Elephas maximus indicus: one gene and its partners. The protein of the gene in region 3 interacts with the protein of the main gene of each other region in a pairwise test. Links are inferred from orthologs where the notes say so. Each region holds a gene or a part of one and is shown on either strand. Other genes may lie near its edges.

Evidence for each region. The genes of interacting proteins can lie anywhere in the genome.
Region 1: the proteins of PITX1 (region 3) and SPAG8 interact in binary tests that used the Homo sapiens proteins (3 or more experiments, as listed by UniProt). The link is inferred for Elephas maximus indicus from reciprocal best matches to the Homo sapiens genes PITX1 and SPAG8.
Region 2: the proteins of PITX1 (region 3) and ZBTB32 interact in a two-hybrid assay, tested with the Homo sapiens proteins (2 studies listed by BioGRID). The link is inferred for Elephas maximus indicus from reciprocal best matches to the Homo sapiens genes PITX1 and ZBTB32.

The regions. Positions count from the first base shown.
Region 1 is NC_064827.1:44,604,818-44,612,762, reverse strand, and holds SPAG8 (sperm-associated antigen 8), read left to right. Parts: upstream 1-4,940; 5' UTR 4,941-5,370; coding exon 5,371-5,408; intron 5,409-5,510; coding exon 5,511-6,291; intron 6,292-6,409; coding exon 6,410-6,584; intron 6,585-6,795; coding exon 6,796-6,841; intron 6,842-6,924; coding exon 6,925-7,039; intron 7,040-7,161; coding exon 7,162-7,224; intron 7,225-7,328; coding exon 7,329-7,508; downstream 7,509-7,945. Other genes in the region: adenosine 5'-monophosphoramidase HINT2, read left to right, coding at 2,403-2,483, 3,711-3,851, 3,984-4,088, 4,191-4,263, 4,367-4,458. UniProt on the Homo sapiens protein: Microtubule inner protein (MIP) part of the dynein-decorated doublet microtubules (DMTs) in cilia axoneme, which is required for motile cilia beating.
Region 2 is NC_064829.1:114,682,508-114,689,893, forward strand, and holds ZBTB32 (zinc finger and BTB domain-containing protein 32), read left to right. Parts: upstream 1-4,752; coding exon 4,753-5,654; intron 5,655-5,904; coding exon 5,905-5,978; intron 5,979-6,293; coding exon 6,294-6,458; intron 6,459-6,603; coding exon 6,604-6,881; downstream 6,882-7,386. UniProt on the Homo sapiens protein: DNA-binding protein that binds to the to a 5'-TGTACAGTGT-3' core sequence. May function as a transcriptional transactivator and transcriptional repressor. Probably exerts its repressor effect by preventing GATA3 from binding to DNA.
Region 3 is NC_064820.1:147,512,466-147,519,291, forward strand, and holds the start of PITX1 (pituitary homeobox 1), read right to left. Parts: upstream 3,018-6,826; 5' UTR 2,830-3,017; intron 2,764-2,829; exon of another isoform or gene 2,553-2,763; intron 2,350-2,552; 5' UTR 2,226-2,349; intron 2,218-2,225; exon of another isoform or gene 1,858-2,217; 5' UTR 1,720-1,857; intron 1-1,719. UniProt on the Homo sapiens protein: Sequence-specific transcription factor that binds gene promoters and activates their transcription. May play a role in the development of anterior structures, and in particular, the brain and facies and in specifying the identity or structure of hindlimb.

The DNA.
Region 1 (7,945 bases), on a different chromosome or scaffold from region 3:
GGTCACTCTGCAGAGCACTGAAGCTTTCAGATGAGAGCAGCTACAGGTGATGAGAAGCGCTTCACATAGAGAAGACTATGACTCAGGGGCCAAGATCAGTGAATGTAGGAGAGTGACTAGGAAGTCCATAGATAACTTTTACGAGGAGTATGAGATTCTGACACAAAATCAGAATCAGACTGGTATAAAGTCCAATGGGCTTTGTGACCCTAGGCAAGTCACTTTCCCTCTCTGATCCTCAGTTTTCAGATCTGTAAATCAGGAATAATCTGTTTGCTACCTGCTCTCTATGAGAACCCAAAGAAATAACCAATTACCTTAATCTTAATTTCAAGTGCTTTGTACTCATCTACCCCTCTTGGCTGGTTTCCTACCTCGTCCTACATCTCAGCTACCTTTCTCCACGCGAGCTCCAGGGGGTCCTGCTATCCCAGAGACACCACAAAAAGTTTTGGTCTCTGAAACACAGAGAAAAGGCCAGTCTACATTTACTTATATTTAGGGAGGCCCTCTATCCTTCCGAAGGAATGACTACAGCCTGACTTCTAGGATCCCTGGGGGAAGTCACAGGGTCAAATGTCTGCCCTTCAGGGAGAAAGGACTTTCTAACAATAATACAGCTATACGAAAAGAGATTGTACTATCTCCAGAAGCAAAGAGCTAATCACTGGTTATATGCAGTTAACAACAACAAAAAAAAGCCCATTGTCATCGAGTCGATTCTGACTCATAGTGACCCTGTAGGACAGAGTAGACCTGCCCCATTGGGCTTCCAAGGAGCAGCTGGTGGATTCAAACTGCCAGCCTTTTGGTTAGCAGCCAAGCTCTCAACCACTATACCACCAGGGCTCCTATATGCAGTTAAAAAAAAAAGGGGGGGGCTCCTATATGCAGTTAGCACTATGATAATTCACCTAAACATAACCCAACTAATAATCAACAGTAATGGTTACTGTGATAAACTCACTCAAGGAAATATTATGTAGCCATTATAAAGTATATTTACATAGACTAATCAATAATAGGAAATTTTGGTGGCGTAGTGGTTGAGTGGCTGCTAACCAAAAAGGTCGGCAGTTCGAATCCACCAGGCGCTCCTTGGAAAGTCTGTGGGGCATAGAGAATAAACATAATATGTAATACATATGCATTGTATATTATGAAAGGAAAAACATCAAATGTTAATTATTCAACAAATAATGATTGTGCACCTACATGGGTCAGGCCACTAAAGATACAGTGGTATCCTGTCCTATGTGCTTAAGCTCAGAGTTCAACTTCTGTGGTGTCTGAGTATATTAGCATTTTGTGACCCCATGTTTGTTATGTCAAAAATATATATTCCACCACAGGGAAATATGCTTCTGACCTATGTCCATGATGTATTTCACTGAAAATACCAGGCACTGAGCTAACTTCTGATTAGGAAAGAACATTAGATACATTCTTTTGCTTATTTAGTAGTGAGGCAAAAATAGAACACCCCCCTCCCAATTAAAAAAAAAAAAAAAACAGCCCTACAACTGCAGAATCCTTAATCTTTGGAGTGAATGCGTTAACGAGAACATGAAATTAAGGCAGAATTGCCCTCAGATCAACCGGTAAGTTAAAATCGTAGAAAGCTCATGAGGCTGAAACTGCCCTTGTGTGCAAATGGTGGCTATCTGACAAGTACAACTTTTAGACGTCGACCCCACCCGTAGGATGGAAAAAAAAGAACTCTGACTCAGTTCACCTTCAGCCCAGCCAGTCCCCTGTCCTCCACTCGCTCTCCTCCTTCCGGGACTCCTAGGGCCTTGGCTCCAGGGGTTAGCGGGAATTCCCTGGAGCCAATAAACGCTAAGTTACCTCCGAACCCCTCCCTCCTCTTGACCAATGCGGTGGAAGAATCTAAAATATTTTAGCGCTTTGTGCGGCAGATGACCGAACCCGCCCCCGTCCCCAGAGTCCACCAGTAGGGGCTAGACCTGGGGAGCCTCAATCTAAGCAGAACCCGTGTTCTGTATCAGATCCAATTGGGAGGAAACCCCACCTCTGGGTCTCTTAATCATTCCAATGGCGTGAAACTATTTAGGGGATCCAATGGAAAAAGAACTTTCACCCTGACTAGTGGAAAAATCACTCTCGGCTTGGCAAAAGCCGCCAATGGGATGAAAAGCTCCCGCCTCTGACGTAGCTGAGGAGTCAATGGAGTTAATAGTGCCACCCTCTCGGCGGCACTTAGCGCCTAGGAGCACAACCCAATGGGATGGCAGGGCTGTTCCTGGGCGCTGGCGGAGCCAATGGCCGCTCCTCACCCGCTCCCCCGGTAGCCCCGACGCAGCCTGTGGCGTCCAGCCCCACCTCGAACCGGCCTAGAGTACTGGCCTAGGCGAAAACTTCCCGCGGTAGCTGAGGGGAAGATGGCGGCGGCCTTTGTGCTGGCCGCCGGGCTGCGCGTAGCGCGCAGGGCGGTGGCGGCCGCGGGGTCGCAGGGGGCGCAGGTGAGAAGTGGCCGCAGGAGCGGGGAGGGTGTCCCGTGGGCTCTGGCGCCCTCCAGGGTCGTGATCCCAAAGGCATGCACAGCTCTGCGGCCTCGCGGGGCCGGAGCCCGAGCGCACGGCTGTGGCGTCTGCCTCTACCGAGGCGCAGGCTCTGCGGTTGTGCGATAAGGTCGGACTGAAGGTCGCGGCACCCTCTCCGCGAGAGACGCGAACTGGAGGTGACCGATGCCCTGCACAGACCCGAGATCAGGACAGGGTCACTGCAGCGGCTGGTATCACCTCCGGCTTGGAGCCCAGCTGACCCGATGCCTGCTCTGGGCAGCCTACTTGATGCCCCCTGCAGGAAATGAGCTTCCCCTTTTCGGAGCCAGCCTTCTGTCTTCAGGACCCGGGCCTTCTAATGAGCACTAGTGTTAACCCTTCATCTTCCCCAGCGACTTGCCAGAGCGACTCGAGGGTCAGAGAAGTCTAATTCATCCTGTACCCTGCCCCCTTCCCCAAAGTGACTCATGAATTCAGTCTCTTCTGAGCGATGGACACCTGGGACTTCCTTCCCCCGATTCCCTGGGGCTGAGGGAGCTGAGTTCACTTAGGTGACATTTTCCCTCCACTGACTCCAGGGGCTGACAGGAGTTGCAATCCACAGTAAGAGGTCAGACATAACACCCAGATGACGGATCAACTCGTGACAAACAGGGCAGTTGCATTAAAATCTGAATAAAATAGGTGACAAGGCTTAAAGATCAGAAAGCAAATAATGGAAATAAGTGAAAACTTATTAACAAGGTAAGAGTAAATGGAAAGAGCTCTGAGTGGATTTAAGAGATGATGCAAACCATTCTTTTGTTGTTTGTTTGAAGAGAAGGTATTTATCTGAGGTAATTCAGTGGTAAAATAGGAACTGGGACCTGAGCCTCTGGATTTCTCATTATGGATCCTTTTCCCCTGACAGTGCTAGGTCCCCTAGACAGGTTAGGAGCAGGAATCAGTTGCACTGCTGAATCCTTCACTGAAATATTTCCTGTTACGTAGCTAGGCCCAGCACCATCTGGCCCCACCTCTGTTGCTGATACTCTGAAATTCAGCACCTTTTCCCTTGGGTGGGAGTCACTAATAGGTTCTTAGAAGGGTGAAGTTAATGACTATCAGAGCTCAGCTTCTGTGGCCCTTAGTACATGGGAGAGGTATTGCCAAATCCTTCTCTGAGTATGTCTCACCAACCTTCAGGTCCGAGGATGCGCAGGTGTGACTGATGGAAACGAAGTGGCCAAGGCTCAGCGGGCAGCTCCTGGGGGAGCAGCCCCAACCATCTTCTCCCGGATCCTGGACCGAAGCCTCCCAGCTGACATTCTATATGAAGACCATCAGGTGGGATGCCCTTAGGACACATCCCCCCAGGAATTTCATAGGTAACCCCTCAAAGATACAGTCCTGCCTAATGAAGTAACATGGTGGCGTCTGGCCTGTCACTGCCTGATAAGTCCTTCCTCCAACCTCCAGTGCCTTGTGTTCCGTGATGTGGCCCCTCAGGCTCCTGTGCACTTCCTGGTCATTCCTAAGAAGCCCATTCCTCGGATCAGCCAGGCTGAAGAGGAGGATCAGCAGGTGGGAAGAACGGGGCCACGGTTTGGCTGGGGAGGCCCTGGACCAGCTGGAGATTTTGTTCCTTGTGAATGAAGCCACCTGGCTCCCTCCCTCTCCCTGTAGCTTCTAGGACACCTCCTCCTTGTGGCCAAGAAGATAGCAAAGGCTGAGGGCCTGGCAGATGGATACCGGCTTGGTGCGTAACTTTTGGCCCTTGAGCCCCTAACCTATGAATTCTCATACCTACCCTTTAATATGATCTTCAGTTTTTGACATCCTAACCCCAAGCTCCCTTTCAGTGATCAACGATGGGAAGCTGGGCGCACAATCTGTTTATCACCTGCACATTCATGTACTTGGGGGCCGACAGCTCCTGTGGCCTCCAGGATGAACCAACCAATCAACTGACCAAGGACCCCGGGCCTGGATGCTTGGATGGGGAAGGGGAAAAAGGACCCTGTGATGCCAATAAACCTCTCCTACAACTTTGGATCCGTGTCTTAAATATATAAAGATTTATACCATAAAGGGGGGGGTAACATCCACAGGTATGATCCCTCTTAACTATAGTCTGAGTGAGTGAGAAACACTGAGGAGCCCCACCTTGTGATTAAAGGAGTGGTTGCCTGTAGATTTGAGTCTTCATGACTAGTGAAGCACTCCGGGTCAGACTTACAGAAAAGTAGCAGGAATGAGGCTTGCTCAAATCCCGGCCCTTATTCAGAGGCCAAGCCAGATTCTAAGGTAGGGGGGCAGGGGTGGGGGGGAGAGAAGATGGTCAGTGTGAAAGGCCTGTACCTTTTATTGGAGGAGAAGCAGCCACAAAAAAAAAAACCTGCTACTCTTTGACTCTTCCTACGTCTCGCTGTTTTACTTTCAAATTGTCATCTCGTGTATTTTCATCCATAATTTTTTTTTTTAAAGACTCCCTCAACTTTTGAGAATGAACTAAGGGAAAGCTATTGTTGCCTCTCCACAAACACACCAGGTAGGCTTTTGCCTTTGAGCCACAGCTCTCTGCTTGTCTCCAGCATCTTCCCATAAAGACCCAGCCTTAGCTGCCAAGGCTCATGCTTGGGCATGGAGAACAAGGCCTTGGGTCAGCGGAACCTTAAAATGGGCCTGAGGCGGAATGGAGTCGGAAGGAGAAAGCAGCCGTCCCAAACCACGTCAGGTTTAAGACTTCCGCCCCGCAGAGGACTTGTCTCCGCCCCCACCATCCACATCCGCCCCGCTCCGGTTCTGCGCAGTCTCTAGGATTTATTTGCCATCTCCATGGCAACGCGATAGCTGGTGCCTGAAGATGGAGAGAAACGAGTGTACAGAGGGATCGGAGTCGCGGTGAGAATTGCAGCTGTGGCTGCAGGCATAAGCGGCCAAGGAAGGTCTGCTGACTTCCTCAGCTGTGCTTTTGACAACTTTGACGGCTTTGCTCTCTTTCAGGTCTTTAGACGTACAGCCCAGCTCCGAAGGACTAGGGTCCACTTCAGAACCGCTTCCTTCTTCAGATGGCGTTACTAGGTCTGCCCTGGCAGCCGCAACCGCAGCAGCTGCTTCGGCTGCCTCAGCTGCTGCAGCCACTGCAGCCGCCTCTATTGCCAAAGCAGCTGCATTATCTACAAAGATCCCAGGGCCCTACTCTGAGGCTTTTCTCACCGATCCCTCCTCTGACCTCAGTTTTCTTGGGGATTCCTATGCTGGATCCAGTTTTACTCACAAAATAGGCCATGGAAGTCTTGGCTTTGAGCCCACCTATGTTTCCCGTGTTGCTCAGGACCGCTGTACTACAACTGATAGCTCTCCCTCTTGCCATCCTCGTGGCTCTAGCTCTGGTCCTGTTCCTGACACTAGCTCCAGTCCTGGCTGGGACTCTGGCCCTGACCGTGGCTCTGGTCAAGGCTCTGGCCCTGGCCATGGCTCTGGTCAAGGCTCTGGTCCTGGTCCTGCCTCTGACACTGGGCCTGGTCCAGGCTCTGGCCTTGGTCCAAGCACTGGCCCTAGCCCTGAGCTCAGAAACCTTAGAGCAGATCCAGACCCTACTTACACCTCCTGGAGGCAGCAGTGCTACCTGGAGCCTCAGAAACAGCCATCCTGGGGATTTTTGCAAGTCCCAGAACCTGGTGCCCGAGGGCTATGGAAGCCCTCAAAGGTCCAAGGGAAATCTAAGGGGCTTTCTGAAACATTGCCACGGGGCCAGTGTCTCCTCTACAACTGGGAGGAGGAGGTATTAAGGTTTTGGCCTGCCCCCTTTTCTTAAGGGCTGCCCTGTTTCCTGGGGGAGAAAGTAGATCTTGAGGGTGTACCAGAAGGGACATCATGGTCATTCAACTCGGGGTCCACAGAGGGCTACCAACCACCTGGATCAAGTCCCAAGCATGCAGGATGGTTATGAGAGTTTCTTCTTCCGACACGGACACCGAGGACTGCTGACCCTGCAGCTGCAGTCACCCATGCCCTCCAGCACCACCCAGAAAGACTCGTACCAACCCCCAGCAAACGTCTGTCAGTCACTTCGAGGTGTGAAGCATGAGAGACAGGCCAAAATTAGTCCATTAATCAGAAAAACAGGAGAGGAAGGAATTTTCAGTGGGACTGTGGATGGTCCAATGAGTATAGGAAAAAAAAAAAAAAACCATAAGATTTTCATTCCTTTATCATAAATGTGTTTTTTCTGGGCCTGTTTCTTAACCATATTTCCGCATTCTGTCCACCCCCTGCCCTCCCACAGGGAAGCGGGAAGCCATGGTGGAGATGCTCCTGCATCACCAGATCTGGTAGGAGTCTGGGGGAAGATGGAAGGGAAGGGGAGGACAAAAACTGGGAGAAAGTGGCCTTGACTTCCCTCAGGGCTGTATAGTAAAGAGGTACAGGCAGAGCAGGAACCCACAAGGAAGCTGTTTGAAGCTGAGTCTGTGACACACCATGACTACCAAATGGAGCTGGTGCAAGCAGGGCCTCCCGCCCCCACCAAGGTGAGAACTCATCCCATCCCACATGCACAGCTGGACTCTGACAGGCTATGGGAACGCAGCAGGCCCAGAGGCTGAGAGAAGGGACTGTAGGCTAAGAGTTATTCAGTGTCTCTCCCTCACAGCCCCACGACTACCGTAAGGAGCAGCCTGAAACGTTCTGGCTACAGAGGGCACCACAGCTACTGGTGAGTGACAGTGACTAGGTGTTGGGGAAGGGAGAGTAAAAGGAGGGGCTGTTCTATTCTGACTTGGGGGCAGGGGATCTTTTCTCATTCTGGCATTCCTCCAGGGTGTCAGTAATATCAAGACATTGGACACACCATTCCGGAGAAACTGCAGCTTCACAACACCAGTGCCGTTGTCCCTGGGGCAGCCTTTGCCCTATGAACCTGAGAATTACCCCCACCAGTTGGGAGAAATGTCTTCCCTTGCCTGCCAGGGGGGAGGGCAGTGTGGTAGAGAAGGGTGAACTACTGCCTACAGGTTGGGAAGAGGTGTATGTGTGGAATGTTGAATCTTTTTCTGTCTGTAATGGAGAGGTGGGGAGGAAGTGAATTCTATCTATATTTGATGAGGACAGATTACATAAAAGATTCTCCTTCATTCTGAGACTGCTAATTCAGTGATTCTGTGAGTTACTGTGTTCATACCCCATAATCTCCTTTTCTTGGGGTTGTTCCTACCCCAGACTATGATGCCATGCCTTTTTTTGTTTTATATTTGACCAAAATATTCTGGTTTAGATACAGATATTTACAAAAGGTAGTGAGGGGTGCCAGGCTAGAGAGGAGCAGGTATATGTACATGGCCGAGCTGTGAAGGGCAATAACCTCCACACTAAGGTAGGGTTTTTGTGCACGGTGGTCTCCATCCTGCAACAATGTCCATTTTTGATGTGTAGAGAGA
Region 2 (7,386 bases), on a different chromosome or scaffold from region 3:
TGCTATGGCTGCTAACCAAGAGGTGGGCAGTTCGAATCCACCAGGTGCTCTTTGGAAATTCTATGGTGCAGTCCTACTCTGTCCTATAGGGTCGCTATGAGTTGGAATTGACTCAAGGGCAGTGGGTTTATATTAGATACTCTATACTATATAAAATGCTGGGAAGAGTTTAACCACCTTAATTTGCCTAAAAAGATTTTTTTTGGGGGGGGGGCAGTGGCAAGCTATCAATTTTTCTCAATTGAATCTAGATTAGCTTAGCTTAGGGGCTCAATATTTAAAATAAGTGAGATAAACAGAGGACACTTTTTGTAAAATAATCATCCCTCTAATTGACCTCATGGTTTGATTTCAGTTACAGTGTTGTGAAGAGAATCCATACTTGTGTTGTTATGTTGACATTTTTACATCATGCTGCATTGTGCCTGAAGGGTGTCTTGGTTTCCTAGTGCTACTGTAACAGAAATACCATAAAGGGGTGGCTTCAAACAACAGAAATTTATTTTCTCACAGTTCTGGAGGCTAAAAGTCCAAATTAGGGTCTCTCCTGTGTCGATTCCTTCCTTCGTGGTAGCCCTGGACATTCCTTGGTTCCTTGGCTTGTAGACAGACCTCACATGGCATCTGTCTTCCCTGGTGTGTGTTCCTGTCCAATCAGCTTTTCATAACTCAGGAGTGATTAGGTTTAGGGCACACACTTAAACTGGTATGGCTTCACTAACGTAACAGAGAAAACCCTATTTTCAAACAGGATTAAATTCAAAGGTATAGAGGTTAGGATTCCAACGCATATTTTTGGGTGGGTGGGAGGAGGACACAATTCAACCCATAACAGACTTATGACGCAAGGATCTCTAGAAAGCTCTATTTTTGTAGCTGAGGTGTGCACTGAACCCCTGATGATTTCCCCCTGACTGTCCCCTTGGTCAAGCCTACCAGTAAAAATGAAAAATATCAGATTTTAAACTTAGTAGTATGAGTATGAATCTAGGCGACAATGGGCTCAAGCATAACAACGATTGTGAACATGGCGCAGGACTGGGCAGTATTTCGTCCTGTGGTACATAGGGTCGCTGTGAGTCGGAATCGACTCAACAGTACCTAACAACAACATGAGTATTAGGAAGGACCGAGAGGCAGAAATCAGACCTCCTTTTCCCACATAATCTTCTTCCTACCTAATCCTTCCTACCCCCTCCCTCTCCCAGGGTGCAGGCTTGTGTCTTTATAACCTGTGGTTTCCTGGCTCCATCCCAGGAGGACGTCTACAGGTGATTCCCTACTGAGTCTGTCTGGGAATTGGGAGGTGGGGAGGTGTCTGAGGCTGGAGAGGAAAGACTTTCAAGAGCAGCAAACCATCAGCAGTGTTCCTGTCCTTCCAAGTCAAGGTGGCATTTGCTTCTGCTGTCACTGCTCGGTGCAGGATGCTTTGGGTTGCTCTGTGGGAATGTGGTGAGAGGGCGGAGAAAGGCCTAGAGCGTCACTTGCATAAGGGTTGAGGTGCAGAGGGCCTTGGGGATACCTCTGAGGAGGCTGTCTCTAAGGAGATACCCTTAGGTGGGTTAGACACCAAGTGGGAGGCAAGATGGGGTTTCCCATTCTTGGGGGCTTTTGTTCACTGAAGGGGAAGTCCCCTTGCCCCTTCTCCTCCCTTTTAGACTTCCCTAAAGCCCCCTGACACTCCGTGTCATCTACATTTGGCTGACAGAGGATGGTGCCCTTTGAGCAGAATCTCCAAGTCTCTCGATCATCATTGGGCAGACCACACTGGTGATGGGAGCTGAGTCATGGGCTGGTGACGTATGGCTGGGTGATGAGGGAACCATACTCCACTGGGACCACCTTCCTTACCTCTGCTTTGTTACCCCTCCTAGGCTCGGGGCTTCTCCCTGATGGCCTTCTCCACTTAGTCTGTATCTTTGAGGACTGTGAGTTTCTATTTGGGAGGGAGGCTACATGTCAGGGACTGATGCTTTATGTGTCCAGACTAAGTGTCTTTTATGTGGGTATCTGATGTGCCCCTGGGTGTGGTGGTGTGAGGAGTCAGAAAGCTCAGAAGTGGAAAATATTTAATGTTCAGAGGGGTAGCAGGTGAATTAGCTTGCCCATTTGCATTTTCCTTTTCACTCTGACTCATCTTCCCCTCTCCCCACCCCATTGCCCCTCCGGCAGCCCCACCCATTGGCACACCCTGTCTTATCTAGGAAGGGTTAACACCTGCTCACACCCAAACTAGAATGAGAGGTACAGAGAAGACATGTTAGGCATAGAGGGAGACAGTGAAGTTTGGTCTGAACATTTTGGTGTCTTGGAGCCAAAGGGAGAAAGAGGCGCTTAGAGACCTAGAATTTGAGTCTAGGAGGGACGCATAAAGCATCACTCCCTGACATGTAGCTGGAGGGTAAACCAGGGGGGCACCAGGCTATCTTTTTTGTTACCAGAACAGCTCCCAGTGCCTGATATCTTATTTATCTTCCAGTTACTTATTGGGCATATATGATATGCCAGACACGTATCGTAACTGTTGTATCATATCAGCATTTATTGAATGAATGTAGAATGTGGTACAGGAGCAGGGATAATAGAATAATAAGAAACAGAAAAAGAAACTTGAGTCTCTCAGACCTCCTCCCTTCCCCAGATTAAACAGTGCTAGAACTAAGAGGGGAAATCTCCAGGGGCTTTGACCTTCTGGGCAGGAAGTGAAAGAAACCTAAGTCCTGATTTCAGAGAAATGTCATTTGTCATCAACCCAAGAAAAGGAGTTTCTCTCTTTGAAGACCACCGCAGGCCCTTCCTGGGGTTGCCCCCTCCAGAGTTTGATGGGAGGATCCGAGTTACTCACATTCAATACCCCACTGCGACCCAGATGTCAGGGGTCATTCCTACAGAGCAAGCAAGGCTTCCCAGCTCCAACAGTCAGGGAGAAGGAGGAATGCCTGTGGCCCTCCCTCCTGCTCTCTTTGGAATCCAGTTGTTTCCATCCTTTTTACTTCTGAGGTAGGAGTAGAAACAGCTTTCAGCTACCGCAGCTCTATTGTCACCTCTAAGAACCAGAACTAATACTATTTGGATGATGCTATGCACTTACAAACCACTTTCGCATTCATCATGTCATATCATCTTCACCCCCACCGCCAAGTGGCATAAGCAGAAATTATCCCCATTTCATGGATGAGGTAACTGAGGCTCAGGGAGGTAACTTGTCCAAGATGACTCAGCTAGTAAATGGCAGAGATGAGACTGAAATGCGAGTCTGACTGCTCCAAAGTCCTTGTCGCCTCAGGTACACTTCTTGGACTCTAGTTCACTAATGAGGTCAGGAGACAGGAGGTAAGGAGGCAGAACGTCTGGAAGTAGAGGCCGGCCTCTCCTGGAGGGGTGAAGCAGAGCTAGAGGTATAAAACCACACCCCCCGGGGGACTGTAGCAGACTGAAACTTGGGACATCCAATGGAGGACGGTGAGGTCAGGGGTGGGGCTAGCTTCAGGGGAGGGGGTGGGGGGCAGGAGCCCGACCAGCAGTTCAGAGCATGCGGTGTCCAGTGAGGATGCTACAACTGGTGAGTGCTTGCGTCTCTCCAGCTGAGGCTTTTCTCCCCACACTCCACCCTTTCTGTTCACTCCCTGCCAACGTGCTGCCCTCTCCCGGAGGTGTCCAAGTAGTAACCTTCCCTCCCACAAGGGTCCTTGCTCATGGTGAGCCTGCCCCCAGGAATATGGCTGTTGGGTGTGGAGACACTTTGGTTCTGTTTCTCTGTGTGTCTGGGCTCCGAGTTCTCTTCTTGAAAGCCAGTGTGGTAGTTTTCACTTGTGAGAAACTCCTGCCTTGCTGGGTTCTGTCTTTCTATTCGCTTTTTGGCTTATGAAAACAGAATTAAACCATCTTCCTATCCTAATCTTGAGAGCAAAGAGTCTTCCCCTATACAGTTCCCATTTCCCTTTCTCTCACTTCCTCAGGGGTCAAAGCCTTCTCCAAAGCCTCTCTCCATCCTTGGATCAGCTTTCTCTCCTGTGGCTTCTGAGCCTGCTTTCTCAACTCACTGGATGGGAGTTTTTGTTCTTATCCAGTTCCTGCTCTGAGGATGCATTCTAGAAGCTTCAGCCTAAGGGGGATGATTGATTGATGGATGGCTTATAGCCTGCTCTCCTGCAGCCATGACCCTTATCTTGGCTTCTCAGAAGCCTCAGCAACCACTTGCTGGGCCCGTGGAGGGCGGACACACCAGCTTTCCAAGCTCTGCCTGTGAAGCTCAGTCCTGCTCCTCCCTAAATGCCTGGGCTGACTGGCTGGGTTTTGTGGTGATCCCTTTGTCTGGAATGAGGAAAGCCTGGCCTGCTTAGAAGTCTTTCCTTGCAGAGGGACCTGAAGCAGCAGAAATATCAATGTCTGCTATCCATTAAGCCAGATTGTCAATTGGCAGACCCCACATACACTCGAGCCTTAAATCAGCTACTTGGTATTTTTGTTGACTGCCTGATCCTTGCTCTTTAAGTCTAAATTTGGCCTAATTTCCATTTCTTCACTCCCCACCCCTGTTACGATTCTGGATAAGTTCAGCTTTTCTCTAGGGCTGGTTTATTTGCTCCATTTGAGGACAAAGAGCTCTGATCCAGGACCAGCAACTCATTCTTTCTCCCCTCACCTCCACAGGCTTGAGAATATGCCGTTCCTCCCTCCCTTTTCCACCATGGAGCCCATACTGTGGCCTTCCTCTCAGAACCACTGAGATCGGTACCCAGACAAGGCACAATGTCCCTACCCCCCATGAGACTGCCCAGCCCCTACGCCTCTGATCGGCTGGTACGGCTGGCAGCCAGGCTCCGGCCGGCACTATGTGATACCCTGATCACTGTGGGAAGCCAAGAGTTTCCAGCCCACAGCCTGGTGCTAGCAGGTGTGAGCCAGCAGCTGGGTCACAGGGGCTGGTGGGCTTTGGCAGAAGGCATCAGCCCTTCCACTTTTGCCCAGCTTCTGCAGTTTGTTTACGGGGAGAGTGTGGAGCTGCACCCTGGGGAGCTGGGAGCCCTTGAGGAGGCGGCCAGAGCCCTGGGGGTCCAGGCCCTGGAAGAAGCATGCAGAAGGGCTCGAAGGGACAGGACTAATGAGGAGCAGGAACCAGGGCCGAAGAAACATCAGGAGGAGCCAGAAAAACCCCTAAGGGATTCTGAGAGGGAACTGGGGGGCCCTGGAGAGAAGCAGAGGCCAGAGTTTTTCAGAGCTGGTGGGAGAGAACAGGAACCACGGCACAAGCACTGGCCACCAGGAGAGAGCCATGAGGTGACAGGGGCAAAGCGAGAGGGTCATGGGAAACAAATGAGATCAAAGGAGAAACTCAGCCAATCCTCTGTTGGCCACGGGGAAGAAGATGGGAAGCCAGGAGCTGTCGTGTGGTTGAGGGAGAGTCCAGGGAGCTCTGAGGAAAGTCTGTGGGAGTCCCCTAGCCCCCTTCCCCAACCAGGTTCCCTCCAAGCCAGCATCGTCCCCAGGCCCTGGTGGGCTGAGGCCCCCTGGTTGGGGGAGGGCCAGCCTGCCCTGCAGAGCATCCTGCTGTTGCCGCCCAGATATGGCACTCCCTTCTCCCCCAGCACCCCCATCACCCCCATCACCCCCATCACTGGATCCCGGCAGGAGGTCTGGCCTCAGGACCAGAGGTGAGTGAAGGGCTTAGTGGAGGTCTCAGGAGCCGGGAGGGAGTGGCTTAGGAGAGGCAGAGGTGATGGGTGGAAGGGCACCACACCTCTTATATCTTCTATACATTTCCTGAGCAGGGGATGAGACAGGAAGCTCAGAGCTCCGCCCCTGAGAAAGTCCTAGGACACCTCTCTCCCCAGGAAGAGACCAGGGATGGCGAGGCTCTCGGGTTTTGCCAGGGCTGTAACTCTTCCCCCACACCCCTCCTAGGATCCCACTGCCCCTGAACCTCCAGAAAGGGCTCTGGAGCCAGAACCTATTGGCCTCCTCCAGCCCCACTCCAGGTAAGCCCCTCACTGCACTGCACACATGCTATAACGTGGTTTCTCCTCGGGCAGGGCAGAGGCTCTAAGAGTCCAGTCTCAGCAGGGCCCCCACCTCACTCTGCTCCTTCCAGATTCCCTCCCCCAGGACCCCCCCCCCCCACACACACGGCTAAGCCCTGGGGAGATGGAAGCATCTGATCAGGACCACACTGGTGAACAGGGTGGGGATGCTTTGGCTTAAGCTCCGCTGTAGCCCCTGATGTTTTACCTGGGTGTTCCTGTGACCCAGCCTGGGTGCCCTGCCTCACCCTCCTTTGACTCCTGTCCCCGCAGGCTCGACTGCAACCTCTGTGGGTCATAATGGCAAAGCGGGCCGCATATCTCACCAACATCCTCCCCCGCCCCCTCCTGCTCGCGTTCGGCCCTATTCTTGCTCTGTCTGTGGAAAGAGGTTTTCACTCAAGCATCAGATGGAGACACACTACCGAGTCCACACAGGTAGGGGCATCCAGCCCTGCATGAGTTGCCTGCTTCCTTCCCAACTTCAGTTTGCTGGCTCCCTCATCCGCTTCTGCATGGCGTAGCTTGACCAGCCTTCATCCGTCTTCCCTTCTCCACTGGGCTCCCCCTCTGTCCGTCCTAGGTGAGAAACCATTCTCCTGTAGCCTCTGCCCTCAGCGCTCCCGGGACTTCTCTGCCATGACCAAGCATCTTCGGACCCATGGGGCTGCGCCCTACCGCTGCCCTCTGTGTCTGGCCGGCTGCCCCAGCCTGGCCTCCATGCAGGCTCACATGCGCGGCCACTCGCCCAGCCAGCTCCCACCAGGATGGACCATTCGCTCCACCTTCCTCTATTCCTCCTCTTCCAGGCCATCCCGGGCCTCGCCCTCTCCCTGCAGTCCCCCTTCCTCCACTACCTGATGGGGTGTCTGCAGCTCTTGGGCCTCAGTCTAGAATCTAATGAAAGAACGATAGGTGGGCCAGCAGACCAGCCTGGCTCCTGACTGGGCACCGCGGCGGCGGTCTAGCGAATTTGGCTGCAGAAGCGCTGCAGGAAGGGCGCCTAGAGCCCTCTCCTGGACGACCGCGGGCCGCAGGAGCCTGGGCCAGAAAGCCGGAGTTGGGTGAGGGCCGGAAAGTCTGCACGAGTAAAGGCCAACTCTGCTGGGTCCACAATAAAGACTTTCCTGTGCCCTCCTCTCAGGACAAGAAAACCGAGTCCAGACTCAAGTGTGTGCGCGCCGGGTGGGGTGGCGGGCGACTTTGCCCCCTGTCCTGTAGCGGCCCCTGGTGGCCGTGCGTCCGCTGTCCAACGCGACGGCCACCTTCTCCATCTCCCGGGGCGTCCCAGTCCCGTTCTCTCCCGGAGGCAGTGGGCTGCGAGGGCTCAGCGTCCAGGCAGACTTCGCAGCAGGCCCTGGGCGGC
Region 3 (6,826 bases):
TTGAACGCAAGCAATTATTGGGTGAGGGTGCTCAGGCAGGGGCTGGGAACGATCTCGCTGGGTCTTTTAGGCCTCCCAGGACCCCAGCCCAAGGATTCCTACCATTCCGGGATCCCCAGCGTGTCCTGTTGGGGAGCTGTGGGATGCACTCGGCTGGACGGTGCTAGTGGCACGCCAGCGGGAGTGAGGAACTGGTCTCTGTGCTGTGGACTGCTCAGCCTGCTCGGTCAGGGCAGCGGCTGGTAGGGCCCCTGGCTCTCCTGAGCCCAGCAAAAAACGTTGGGTGGCTGAGCGAAAGAGAGGGCTAGGAAAGTGGCCATGGCTGGCCACATAACTGGGGAGTAGAGGGTCAGGTTTTGCTGCACCACAGCCTCCTTTTTCCAGCAGCTGCTTTTCTGGGAGAAGGGCGCTCTGAGTCTGGCTCGGAGGTCAACAAATAGAGCCTCTACCACCTAGAGTTGAAGCAGCCACAGATCGGTGCCCCAGCTCACCACTTTTCCTTTCTTTGGCAGAGGTGGAGAGTCCCAAAATGTCTTGGGGAAGGGCAGGAGGACAGCAAGTCCCTCTCCTATGCTGCCCTGGTGCCCACAGCCTTTGTCATTACCCTAGACTTCTTCATTACCCTAGACCTGCATCCTCGGCCAAGTGGACAGCAACCTGGGGTTTCCTGCTCTGGCCTTGGTGGCTGTCGGAGGCAACCACAAATCCAGCATACCGGGGCCTTAGTTTTTCAGAGAAGTGGATTTAATATTTTTAGATTCAGGGAATTCCCAAATCAGAAAACCTTTGAACCATGATTCCAGACCGGGGTTCCCATTTTTGCTACCTGGCTTCAGAGCCCTTGCTTTGCCACAGTAGAATCGGCTCCAACTTTCGTGGCTGTTCAGTTTCAGAATCCCTAGACCCGGCTCTAGAGAAGAAGCTGTGTGCTGGGGAATCCTCCGTCAGCAACCAGAACCGGGAGAAGCCGTGGGAATGTCTTTATTGGACTTTACTAAAAGCATTTAGGGTTTCTGTAAGGGGAAGGTGAGGCCCAACCCGTATGGGAGAGGGCAGCTCTGCGCGCGGGGCAGGCCGCCCTGGGCTGGGGGTGCCTCCCAGCGCTGCGGCGGACGTCGGGGTTGGCGATCGAAGGGACCCGAGGCTCCGGGGCTCCGGCCGATGTCTGCTGCTTTTCTGCCATATTGCTGCTCGAACGAACAAACGAGCGAAGCGGTTTCGTTTAGGACAAATACCCTCTTGACGCGAAGCTACGGCCGAAGTCCCGGGCCATGGAGAGGGGCCTGCGCATCCGCCTGTGCTGGGGGCCCTCAACCCAGGGCATATCGGGGAACAGCGGACAGCCCTCTCGCCTGTCCCTTTCTCCCTGGGGACCCCTTGCGCCCTGGCCACCGCTAGAAGTTGCGCGGGGCGTCCAGGGTGTCCTTGGCCTGCGCCCCCAAGGCTGCTGCCTTCTTGGGGTGCCTGGGGCCGAAGCGCGGGGTGGGCCCACCAGTTAGGTGAGGTAGCGCCCGGAGATGGCAGCTGTGACCGTGCGCACCACTCAGGAATGAACTCCTCGCTCTGCCCCGATGGCGCCTGGCCTTCCGCGCATTGCGCTCGGTCCTGCCCCACCGGCTGGACCGCACGGAGCAAACAGCGCGGGACTCGGCCGCCACTTCCCTGCGCTCCTCCACCGCGGAGCGTCGGCGTCCCCTAGCCCAGCGTTTCTAACCCTACCTGGGCTGCGCTGCGTCTGCGGCTCGTCGGCTCCGGGCTCGCCTGCCGCCGACTCAGATTTAGATTTCGGCTCCGGCTGGGGCCCCGGATCCAATTCAGTCTCCGACTCTGCGCGCTGCTTCGGCCCCCGCCGGGTCGCTACATCCCAGCGCGTAAGGTCCGGGCTGCCTCGGCTCGGCCCGCTCCTCCTGCCGCGGCGGCTGCCGCCGCCCGTCGCCCGCGGGGAAGGCGGGGACACCGGCCGGGGAGGCGGGAAGGGGGGGAGGGGAAGCAAGGCGCTAGCCTAGGCAAGCGGGGAGGGGGCGGCGCGCAGTCCAGCGGGCTAGGGGCCCTGTCCTCCCTCGGGAAGCAGGCTGGGGTCTCACGGCTCTCCGCAGAGGCCCTAGGCCGGGAAGCGCGCCCCGGGACGGCTGGTGCGTGGGAGGGGCTCCAGCCGTCTGCGGTTGAAGCTGCTGGGGTCCCACCCTAGCCCAGACACTTTACTCTTGCTGGGCTCAGTTACCCACCTGGCACGTTAGGGGACGGGCCGGCTTCCGTTTAGTCCGGGTCTGATCGGAGTTTCCCGGGGGCCTGCCAGGTGATGGTCAAGCTGGGGTTATGAGAGTCAATCCTTTCCTTTTCCTGCTCAGCCTGCGGGAGGGAGCCGGGTTTGCATGTTGGCAGAGAGAATCAGCTGTGCAGATTTTGGCAGCCACGGAGGTTTGAGGTCAGACCCCAAGGTTTCTCTATGTAAGGGGGTGCTCGGGAGGGGCAATCGCCCGACCGGCCCTGCTTGGGGAATTTCCCCTTCTCCCTCTTCAGAGACTCGTCTGGGGAATAAAGGGGAGGCCAACCTCACGAGGACAGACGCCTCTGCGACTCCTTGTCTGGTCCCTTCCCTTGCACACCCTCCAGCGGCCGCCTTTCTCCCGGACGGCGCACGTGGGAGGCCTCTGCCCATGTGGTCCCTCAGGTCGGTTCCTGGCTGGCAGCCATTGGGAGACTGGAAGGACTGAGGGGACCTGGGGGCCTGCCCCTCTCTCACCCGTAGGCCTCCGGATTCCCCAGCGTTGCCTAGTGGCCAGATAACCCCGCAAGTGAAACCTCAAGGGGGAGACCCATTGGCAGAACCTGCTCCGGCTTTCCCCAAGCTCTCAGTCTGAGCCTCCGGCTTCTGGAATGGTGGGATGGGACGAGTTCGGCTGTGACTGTTTATCCAGGCCCAGACTGCGGGACAAGAGCGGCCGAGCCTGCCCGCCGACACCCCAGGGCTCTGGGATGGCCGCTTCGGCGCTAGGTGCCGGGAGATGGCAGCGCGGCGGCCGGCGTCAATGTTGCACGAGATGCCATCATCGGCGGCGCCTCCCTCCCTGGTTCTCGCTGACAGCTGGTGCTGGTGAGGCTGCAGCCCCGACGCCCGACCTGGCGCCCTGCTCCGCCGCGCCTCCAGGGCCGCCTAGCCTCGGAAAGCGCAGAGCCGAGACCCCCGCCCTACCCTCAAGGCCGGAAGCCAGCCCGACGCAAGCTCCCAGAGGCCAGGGCATTCAGGCCCTGCGGGGTGGCCCTTGCACCCTGTCCTGCTTTTCCGGGACTCCGCGACCTCCTCTCAATCCTTAAAAGCCGGAACCCTTCTCCAGGGGTGTGTGGGGATCAGTGCGCACGGGGTCATAAGGGCTAAAAGACGCGCCTTGGACGCCGGCGCTTTCAGACCTGGACCTAGAGGCCTACTTGGGGAAACGCAATCTTGTGGCTTGGACCTTGCGCTGCCCGGGATTGCAATCCCACGCCTCTCTCCCCACCGCTAGTTGTGCGTTTTATGTGTGAAAATGGCCTGTTGGCAGGCCTGGCCCTGTGGGCCTTGTCCCTGGCAGCCTTACCCCCCACCCCAAGCGCCCAGACACCTTTGGGCATAAATGCAACCGCAGGACCCTTATTGTGAAGGCCGAGAGACAGGCACCTGGCTGGGGTGGTTTCATTTAGGTGTCTCACCCTTCCACCCCTGTACACCAGCGATTTTCAGGGGTTTTGTTCCCAGTGGGTGACGGGGTGGTGGTGTCATCATTCTCTGCTATGTTCTTGTTCTCAGCTAGGGCCTGTGGCACCAAGACACTGCTAATGGCCTGTGCTGGAGTCTTGTCTGTGCCTTATACTAGCTGTTTGGCTTTGGGCAAGTCACATAACCTCTTCCAGCCTCAACTTATCTGTCTGTGAAACAGGAGAGTAAGAGTATCGACTTTACAAGGCAGTTGAGGAATCGATGAGACAAAGCAAGTGAAGGGCTTAGCACTATGTTTTGTGGAGTTGAATGCTAAAGGTAACACCCGTCAGGTCACTTTGTTCTTTAAAAGTTTGCTCTAATTTTTGTTTCCCTCTTTCACCAGTGACGAGCCCTGGTAGCCAGTGGTTAAAGCCTTTGGCTGCTAACGGAAAGGTCAGCAGTATGAACCCATGGGAGAAAGATGTGGCTGTCTGCTTCCATAAAGATTTATAGCCTTGGAAACCCTATGGGGGCAGTTCCACTCTGTCCTATAGGGTCTCGATGGCAGTGGGTTTGTTGGGTTTTCCCCAGCATGGTCACATTGGTTGAGTCAGGCAGGAGCAGAACACCTCTCTGATTTAGCAGAGCTGCTCCTTATTCCCTCCAGGCTGGGCAGACTGGGTGGGGCCAGAGCCTGACAACCTGGAAGTTCTTGGAAGGTCAAAACAGGCTTTGTATGATTTCATTTTCCCCTCTTCCAAAAAGAATTTTCCACAATTTCCCTTTAGCTTTTGACATCTTGAGGCACATATATTTCCACTGTCAAGGCAGATGGATTGGAAATCAAAGAGAGGAAGAGCGGGGCAGGGTCCACTAGGAACAGAAGTAACACAGTCCCTGTATCTAAGTGTCACTTTAGCTTTGAGCTTCCTAGTACCTAAGTGAAAAGTGCAACAAGATTGGTTGACACAGTTGTTTTGTCTCTTCTTCCAAAATGGCATGCTTCCTTTAGTCAGAAGAAGTTTTTCTCCATAGTACAAAACTCCAAGTTGGATTTGTCACATCTGAATAGCATAATGGGCAAATGGCTTCAGTCACAGTTTTGCAGTGTTTCTTAATATCCAGTAAAAGTAGGGAGAGTGTCTGTCTTAGTTATCTAATGCTGCCATAACAGAAATACCACAAGTGGATGGCTTTAACAAAGAGAAATTTATTCTCTCACAATTGAGCAGGCTACAACTCCAAATTCAGGGTGTCAGCTCCAGGGGAAGGCCTTGTCTCTCTGTCGGCTCTGGAGGAAGGTCCTTGTCATCAGTCTTTCCCTGGTCGAGGAGCTTCTCAGTGCAGGGACCCTGGGTCCAAAGGATATGCTCTGCTCCTGGCTCTGCTTTCCTGGTGGTACGAGGTCCCCATGTCTCTCTGCTTGCTTCTCTCTTTTATATCTCAAAAGAGATTGGCTTAAGACATCATCTAATCTTGTAGATCTCATCAATGTAACTGCCACTAATCCATCTCATTACATTATAGTGATAAGATTTACAACACGTAGGAAAATCATGTCAGATGACAAAATGGTAGACAATCATACAATACTGGGAATCATGACCTAGCCAAGTTGACAGATATTTTTGGAGGACACAATTCCATCCATGACAGTGACCTTTTCCTTCATGGGTCTTATTGCAATAGTATTGAAATAATTATTTGTGTAATGATTGGTTAAAATCTGTTGCCCTTACCATTTGTAAGCTCCTTGAGAGCAGAGCTGAGCCTCTCTTGTTCACTACAGGACCCTTGCTAGCATGGTCAAGGGATTCGATTATGCTGATTGGCTGGGTACAGCTCACATGCCCACTCCTAAACCAATCTCTTTGTGGAGAAGAGTGGTTTAGGGGTGTGGTTGGCCAGGCCAGGGTCACAGGCTCCACCCTAGAAGGATTACTCCCTACCAAAAGGAATACTCACTACATTCCCCCAAGAATCTTAGCTGCTGTCCCTTAGCAAGCTCTCAGAGTTAGAATTGTGGCAGGGAAGGTGTTAGTCTTCAAAGAAGCCCCTGCCCTGTGAAGGTTCTCAAGGGCCTGGTGGTGGAGTGGGTAAGAGTCCACCCTAATGTGATGGGGAGGCACTGGTTCTCTTGGGAGAGTCTGAAGTCCAACAGGACTGTTCTGGCACTCATCTGTGGCAAAGAGGTGAGAGTGCCACCAGAAAGCCTGAGGGGAGGCTCAGAGTCTGCTGATTCCATATAGAGATGGACCCACAAAGCAAGGGAGGGTATCCATTTGTGGTCCCTTGCTCATCCTTGAGAAGGAGGGAGTTGGAGAATCTGAAAGTGGAGAAGACCTCCTAGGATCAGGCAAGATGTTGATGTACTTGAACATTGATTATAGTGCACTCTGAGGCTCCTGGGAGCCAAAGCAAAAAGAGAAACCTTTTGAGCATCTCAAGTACTTTTTTTTTTTTTTCATTGCAGACCTGTCAGCATCTGTAAGGAACAGTGGGAAGAACTCTGGTCTGGGACCCTCTTGGACTGGCCTCTCTCAGGTCAGCAAAGGTTTAGAAAGCACACACTTCATGCCCATGATCACAGAGATGCAGAGATGGATGGCTTCTGCTCATGTGGGTTGAGCTGAGGAGGCAGACGTACAAACCCATAACCATATTTGGAGCACAAATGCTGGAGACGAAATCTGCAGCCCGCTGTTGAAGGGTCTTGAATGACATACTACAGAGTTTGTTTGGAACAGTATTTCCACCCCGCCCCTCTCCACTCCCTGGGAAAACAGTACGAACAAAGGCCCAGAGGTGAGAGAATTGTGGTATACCTGAGAATTTGAAAGAAGGGCAGTGTGGCTACAGAATAGCATTGAGGGCAGGTGAGAAGGCAGAGAATGGGGGAAGAGGAGGTTGGAGAATTAAATAGGAGCCGGATACTGTGGGGCTTCATGAAGCTTTGTAGTATTGTAGTATAGTGGGGTATTATTCTGAAGACGAAGAGACGTAGATGAAGGGTTTAAGAAGGGAGACGGTTGGTTAGATTAATATTTCAGAAAGATCACTCAGCCTGGAGAGTGTAGGATGGATTCCAGGGGGTGAGGTGGGAGCAGGCTATTGTAACATCATTCACTCAGCCACTACATCCATCTGTTT